Macaca mulatta: one gene and its partner. The protein of the gene in region 2 purifies or fractionates together with the protein of the main gene of each other region. This does not show direct contact. Links are inferred from orthologs where the notes say so. Each region holds a gene or a part of one and is shown on either strand. Other genes may lie near its edges.

Region 1 (3,911 bases), on a different chromosome or scaffold from region 2:
GATCACTTAAACCGAGGAGACAGTGGTTGCAGTCAGCCAAGATCGCACCACTGCACTCCAGCCTGGGTGACAAAGCAAGACCCTGTTTCAAAAAAAAAAAAAACGGCCGGGCACAGAGCCAGTAGCTCATGCCTGTAATCCCAGCACTTTGGGAGGCCTAGGCGGGCGGATCACGAGGTCAAGAGTTCAAGACAAGCCTAACCAACATGGTAAAACCCTGTCTCTACTAAAAATACAAAAATTAGCCTGGTATGGTGGCACAGAACTGTAATCCCAGCTACTCAGGAGGCTGAGGCAGGAGAATCACTTGAACCCGGGAGGTGGAGGTTGCAGTGAACCGGGATTGTGCCACTGCACTGCAGCCTGGGTGACAGAGCGAGACTCCGTCTCAAGAAAAAAATAAATAAATAAATAAAATAAAGAAGGGTAGTTGTTTTCTTGGGCTGCACAGACAGCAGTGGTCAAGGCTGAGACTTGAATTTGAGTCTGCCTGGGTGTAGGGAAGGTTACCACCCTTGTCCCCCTCCTCGTGGGGAGTGAGGGGCGTCACTCACTAGTGGCAGACTTTTCTCCATGTCGTCAAACTCTTCCATGCAGACAATGGTCAGGAAGGCTAGATCCATGTCAAGCATATCCAACAGGCAGGCCTGGGGTTTGGAGAGGGGGCAGGAGAGGGCATGAAGGGGGCCCAGGGTACCCTGACACCCTCTCGTAATAATCACCAGTACCCACCCAGGAGATAGGGAATAAAGATGTGATTAAATGGGAGCACACGAGGCAGAAGACAGAGCTGGCATCCTCATATTTACCTCCTGTACATCGGACGGTTTTCCCCCACCCCGGTGTGGGGCCCTGGGGATGCTCACCTCCACCTTGTTGAGTTTGCACTCCTCTTCTCCATGCTGGCACTTGAACTCCCATCTGCCGCTGACATTTTGTTCCTACAAGGCAGCAGGGTGAGAGCTGGCTGGCAGGCTGGGTCCCCTGCTCCCCTGCCCACGTGCCTCAGTTTCCCCAGCGCCCATGCACCTGTGCATTTCCGTAGGGCACCAGCGTGACATTGAGGATCTCCATGACCATCAGCCACGTTGGGAAAAGCTCTCGGACCAGGAAGGCGCGGCAGCCACCGCACAGTGCTTCATAGTAGAGGGTCACGTTGACAAGCGGTGCGTTGGACTTCTTGACGGGCCCCCGCAGGTATAGATTGCCCATCTGTGGATTAGGAAGGGGTGTGAGGCAGGTGTAGCCCTGGGCAGTTCCCCACTTCTCTGAACCCCACTTGGTATTCTTGTAGAAAGGGGGCTGTCATAGGCAATTCATCTTGCACACCTTCCAGAACTTGCCAGGTGGAATCTTGACTTTGAGACTTTTTTTTTTTTTTTTTTTTTTTTTTTTTTTTTTTTTGAGACAGCGTCTCTCTCTGTCGCCCAGGCTGGAGTGCACTGGCACCATCTTGGCTCACTGCAAGCTCCGCCTCCCGGGTTCACGCCATTGTCCTGCCTCAGCCTCCCAAGTAGCTGGGACTACAGTCCCGAGTAGCTGGGACTACAGGCGCCGGCCACTACACCCGGTTAATTTTTTTGTATTTTTAGTAGAGACGGGGTTTCACCGTATTAGCCTAGCCAGGATGGTCTCGATCCCCTGACCTCGTGATCCGCCCGCCTCGGCCTCCCAAAGTGCTGGGATTACAGGTGTGAGCCACCGCCTCCGGCCTTGGCCCATGCCCATTTCTTGCCACTCCACCAGGAGACTTTGACTCTGAGCTGAGCAAGGAACCCACGTGAACCCTTTCCAAGTCCGACCAAACAGAGGCGGCACCTAATAGGTGCTGACTTCCGGCTTCAGCTGAGGGGTGGCGGGCGGCCCGTGTCGCTGGATCCCTGAGCAAGTCGCTCAGCTTCTAGGGCATTTGCCTAATAGGTCCCAGAGACACGCAAGCCCTGCCCTGGCTGGAATGAATGCACCAGGGGTAGCAGCAAGAACGCATGCCGGTGGCCCTCGGCCAGCTGCTGAACTTGTGCCCTGGACCATAAAAGGAGACCCCAGCTCCTGCCCCAAAAGTACACAATAGGCGCTCAATGAACCCTTGGGCGGGACGAGGCGGTGGAAGCAACTGCGCGTCTCAGATGCGGGATGCGAAAGCGAAACGGCACGGAGGGACTCTGGCCGCAGTGCCGGGAAATGAACGGGGTTTTTCCAGTCGGGGCCCTGGTCTTCCCCTGTGAAGTCTGGGGAGAAAGAAGGAGCCGCCTGCCCCGACAGGGCGCCTGTCCCCTCCAGTCTGCCCGCCCTGTCGCCGTCCCTACCTTGTAGTTAACTGGCGGCCCATTCCCAAAGATGTCTAACGTTTGCAGAGGGGACGCCTGCACCGCTGCCGTGGGGTCGTCCAGCAGCAGCAGCAGCGGTGGCAGGAACAGCAGAAGTGGCGACAGGGACATCGCTGCGGGGCAAAAGTGTGGCGGCTGGGGCGGCTGCCTGGGAAATGAGCGCCTTTAACCAGGGCCACCCTAACCCGGGCCCGCCTCCCGGTGCCCACGCCCCTGGGCCCCGAGCCAGCGTCCCTCCCTCCTCCACTCCTCCCTCTGGGTGTCCCACCCCCACCCCTGCCAGGTGCTGGGTCCCCAGTCACGAGGTCACTGGGCCCCTTGGCAATCAGCCCTGCCTAGGCATGTGAGCCCTGGCGCAAGAGGACCTTTAGGGGAGGTGAGGTGGGGTCTTTGAGATAGACACAAAGAGGCTGAGAGGAATGGTGGTGTGTCCATGCACTCCTAGACTTTCTGGGGGCGGCTAGGGGACTTGAGGCCTGGGACCCACTCTCAGAGTGGGCCTGTGATCTAACGGGGTGACGTCGGATGGAGGCTGGGGATGGGATGGAGGCTGGGGTGTTGGGGGAGTAACAAATGTTCAGCCCCCTGAGAGTGGGCAAGCCCTGTGTGGCCAGGTTCCCTCCCTCCAGCCTGGCCCGTGACCTCCCTCACGCCCAACCCCCACGTCCTGCCCCTTGATCCTTCCCCCTCAAGCTCCTGAGCCCGATGCTCCAGACCCGGCTCCGTGGTCCCGTGGGACTGACTCAGGCTTGACCACAGCCATGCCAGAAAGCAGAAGCTGGCACAGGGAGCGGCATGTCATTTCTCTAGGGTACCCCCCCTCCAGTCCCACTTCCGACTTGGGGTGAAGAGAACTGGCCTTCCTTCTTTTCACCATCTAAGGCTTGTGGAGGGTGGGGGCAACCTGGCCTTCAAGGGGCACCCATGGGGGAAAGCAGGGGCCTGTGCTGTCTGGGATAGGGGTGGGACGGCTTGGAGTCCGTCTGGCTTTGGATTTGAGTGACGGAGCCTTAGCTTTCCCTTCTGTGTAATGGGGAGAAGGATAAGGTTTGGGGAACAAGAGTCACCATGGAGGGCTCAGAGGCAGGTGGGGGAGAGTTGTCCCAGGTTGGGGCTTCCGGGTGGCATGGTCAGGCCTTGGTGCCTACACAGGACAGTGGCCCCAGCAGTGAAGGCAGAGAGAATAGCCTGGAAAAAAGGCCCAGATGGAGGTTGGAGTGTTGGGGGAATAATTGAGACATTCAGACCCTGCAGGGCCTCACATTCAGGGCAAGACACACCTGATCCTAAGGAAGAAAATGTCCCAAAGACGGCTGGAAGATATAGCTGAGTCCCCAGCTGTGCCCCCTTCTAGCTGTGTGGAAGACCCCGACCACGCACACGGCAGCTGGTTTGGGAGCCGGAGTTTCCCTGAAGTCCCGGGGGCTGGATGGTCCCCAAGCCCATCCCTCAGACAACCAAACCGTTGGCAAAGCCCTTTTCCTTCTCAAAGCCTCCCCAGGACTCACCGCCTCAAGTCTGGTGCTTACCCTATGCCGGGTGGGATTGAAGAAATAACCATAAATATAATCGCTACAATTTTTC
Region 2 (3,811 bases):
CCCTTTCTGGGGACAGGCACATGATGCCATTAGAACTGGGTTTCCAAACCACGCCCCGGTGCTGAATGTCACAGAACCAGAGCAAAGCCTCCCATTCTCAATCATTTCTGCAGGGCATTCATTGCCTGCTAGAGTTTTTTAAGGTGCATCTCTAATTGTGATTACTCTGTGTATCTGTGCACTAGAGTTCTCTGTCTTTGTGGCTCCAGACATCGTCTCCACAAGGATACCTTACTGCCTTCCTCAACTGTTTTTGCGCCCAGGAGATCTGTGTGGAGCTGGTAACTCCATGCTGATAGAAGGCAGCCATCCTGAAGGCTGCCAGGAGTAGCAGGTTAAGCTCCCAGTGCCCAGGGGGAGTGAAGAGAGACCCAGTCACCCAGGGCAGCGGGCACTGCACTCCCAAACGAACAGACTCTGGAAACAAAAGCAAAACACTGGAAACAAAAGCAAAACACAAGACAAAATGGCAGCTCCTAGGGTGAGCCGAGAACTGCAGTTCAGAGCATCATTTGAGGCTGTTTGTCACACGTCTGGAAATATTGTAGGTAGCTGGGCCATTTCCACACTGCTTCCCCAGGCTCACACCACCTCCAAGAGCTGGAATTTGGGGCAGGCTGAGTCCCTGGTACCTCTCATGGCCCCCTGCCTGGGCTCCCAGGGCCTCACCTCGCCTGTGCTGTGGAGCTGCTGAGCAATATGCCTGAGGTCCTCCTCGCTGGCCAGAGGGTTCAGCTGGTCCTGCACGTCGTACACAAACTGCTGCAGCGACATCAGCTGGTTGGGTCCATTGAGCTTCCTCCAGGAAGGCAGCGTGGAGATGATTTTCTCACACAGGTGAGTCATGGGAGGGCAGACCTAGAAGGGGCACGGCGGGACAGGTCAACTCACCTGCAGCTGTGGGTGCTCCGAGCAGAGCCACAGTGGAAAGGACGCCTTTCATTCAGGCGCCTTGCATATGATTTGATCTGATGAATGAGTAGATTTGTTTTTGTTGTTGTTTATGTTTTTTTTCTTTTTTTAGACTGGATCTCGCCATTGCCCAGGTTGGTCTCAAACCCTTGGGCTCAAGTAATCCTCTTGTCTCCGTCTCCTGAGTAGCTCTGACTACAGGTACACACCACTGCGTCCAGCTAGTTAGTGCCTTTTGGGTTGAGTGCTGGGGCAGTTGTTTTTTAGACTCGCCTTGAAGCCTAATCTATTGCGCAAATATAAAGTTTTATAAAGGCTCTTTGGTTCATGTTAAATAGATTTTGAGTCTTCCAGGAATGTTTTGGAACTGTGGACTCAGTCACTCAATCAACTAATGTTCACCAACTCCTAATGTTTCACTCCCTCATTTCTTCCTCCCTCCCGCCTTTCTTCCCTTGCTCTCTCTCCCTCTTGTGACTGTTTCACTCAGGCAATGATCATTTTATGAACAGAGGAAAAGAGAATGAGTATCATCATCAATATTAGAGTGAGTGTTTACCAGTAAATTCGGCATTCATGGGGACTGTTGCTGAAACAGTGTTTCCAATTAGACCCATTCTTGGTATACAGGCTGAAGTGGATTTTTAACCTTTTAACTTGGCTAAGTAAATCAGCCTGTGTTACAGACTCATGCAATCCACATACCTCTGAATTAGAAACCACACAAGCCACAGGCTACACTGTGCCGTTAATTCCACACTCCCCTCTCAAATTCTTTCATGTCAGCTAAATTCCACTCTGCATTCAAAAACAAAATTCTCAGGAGTGAGTGCAGTTGACATGGTGGGCTCCACCTGCCTGAGCTCAGGAGTTTAGGGGTTGGGCGGGGGGATTGTCTGAGATGCAGCAGATCATGCCAGCGCCCAGCTCAAAAATCTCCAGGGATTCCCTCCTGCCTCAGGAATGCAGCCCCAATCCAGACCTGGTGGGGAAGCGCTGGGGCCTCACAGATCACTGTTAGTTCCCAGATCACCGCCCCGGTTTCTGTGACAGATTCCTCCCAGGCCTCACCAGACTACCCCCTATCTTCTGATGATGCCACAATGGGGATGCCCCAAAGAGGATATCTGGTGTGAAGGGCAGGGTTTACTGGAGGCAGGAAAGGGTTTCCCGAGAATTCTGCAAGCATGTCTGGAACGCGAATCTGGTGTGGAAAGCACAGCATTTTCCTATTAGCAAAGCAGTTAAAAAAAAAAAAAAAAAAAAAAAGAGAGAGAGATACACCCAGAGGCAGCTTTAAAGGTAAGAGAGAGAGACAGGCATCTGCCCACATTTGACCTCAGGCCTGGGCAGCAGGAAGAGTCCAGAGTGAATGCCACCACTTCTCCACTGGGATGCCTGCCCCTTTCTTACCAATTCTGGAGAGCTTTTTGAGCATTATGATGTGACCCTTTATCTGTCCAATGCATTGAGAAGGCTTTTTCCAAGCCTATTTCACCTTTCAGCTTTGTTTACTTGTTTGCCAGAAAAAAATTTAAAAAATTTTTAGATTTTCAAATAGATGTATTTTCTTTTAAAATTTCTAGGGTTTTAGATCTTGGTTTAACAGGTTTCCTCAGTCCCTAGTTATTTTGAAAATACACTCTCCACAATTTCTATTCAAGATATTTATTGTTTTATGTTTTTACATTTAAAAGTTTTAATCCATTTATTTTTGGACTTTGTAGGGTGTAGGAATCCAACTTTATTTCCTTCCGGACAAATAGCCAGTTGTGCCAGGTTCATTTATTAAATAATCTTTACCCCATTAAATTCAAATAACATATTTATTTTCCATTACATTTCTAAAGATATTATGATTTACTTCTACACTCTCTAAGCTTTTCCTCCTATTTAGCTGTATTGATTATCAGGGGCTTTATAATATGTTCAATTAATTTTTCCATGGAAATTTTAAGATAAAAATCCCAATCCCCTCAACCCATTCAGATGCTAACTGAAATTGTATTACATTTATATAACTAGGGGAAAATAAAATATTCAGTCATATCTTACAACCCAAGAATGCAGTCTCGTTCCCTTTGTTCATTTATTCTTTTCTGTCTTTCAAAAAAGTTTGTGACTGTTTTTCTACTTTTCTGAATTTTTAAAATATTCCACAATAAGTCACTTTTGAAATTTTTTTTTTTGTTTAATTGGCCAGACATGGTGGCTTACACCTAAGCCTAGGAGTTTGAGACCAGCCTGGGCAACACAGTGAGACCCTGTCTCTACCAAAAATCAAAAAAATTAGCCAGACGTGGTGGTGCGTGCCTATAGTCCTAGATACTTGGGAGGCTGAGGCAGGCTGATTGCTTGAGCCCTGGAGTTCAAGGCTACAGTGAGCTATGATCACACCACTGTACTCCAGCCTGGATGACAGTGTGAGATCCTGTCTCTGAAAAAATAAAATAAGTGTTTTTAAAGAAACCAATAAATTGGTAAGAATTTCATAAAATTGAAGTGGTCCACCTTTGCCCTTAATAACCTTTTATCTCCCATCGTCTCCTTGTTTCTCTAGTCTTCCTTTCTTTTCCCAGAGCACTAGAATGAAAACATGTCCAGGCAGACACCTCTTACTGGGTCCTACTATGAAACAGTTCCCTGAAACTGAAGGCAAACCAGGAAGTACAAAGGGGTCCAGGCCCTCTCTAGGGTGTACTTACCGAAACAATCTGGCTTCGTATTTCTTGCAGATGATTTCGAAGCACCTTCATGTCCTTTGACCCAGACGCCCCAGCATCCAGAACAAACAGCTTATTTGAAATGTGAAGATCATTTCCAAACCTAAGGGAAGAGCAGCAGCCTCCTCAGCAGTGACTCAATCTCCCCAGGCCTTTCTATGGAGGGGCCAGGCTCC

Evidence for each region.
Region 1: the proteins of DAPK1 (region 2) and IFI30 purify together in Homo sapiens (affinity purification with mass spectrometry; 3 studies listed by BioGRID and IntAct, counting the BioPlex papers as one, with this or other methods). This does not show direct contact. The link is inferred for Macaca mulatta from reciprocal best matches to the Homo sapiens genes DAPK1 and IFI30.

The regions. Positions count from the first base shown.
Region 1 is NC_133424.1:18,688,518-18,692,428, reverse strand, and holds the start of IFI30 (gamma-interferon-inducible lysosomal thiol reductase), read right to left. Parts: upstream 2,468-3,911; 5' UTR 2,439-2,467; coding exon 2,307-2,438; intron 1,213-2,306; coding exon 1,030-1,212; intron 942-1,029; coding exon 867-941; intron 648-866; coding exon 555-647; intron 1-554. UniProt on the Homo sapiens protein: Lysosomal thiol reductase that can reduce protein disulfide bonds. May facilitate the complete unfolding of proteins destined for lysosomal degradation. Plays an important role in antigen processing.
Region 2 is NC_133420.1:118,444,450-118,448,260, reverse strand, and holds part of DAPK1 (death-associated protein kinase 1), read right to left. Parts: intron 3,739-3,811; coding exon 3,618-3,738; intron 859-3,617; coding exon 670-858; intron 1-669. UniProt on the Homo sapiens protein: Calcium/calmodulin-dependent serine/threonine kinase involved in multiple cellular signaling pathways that trigger cell survival, apoptosis, and autophagy.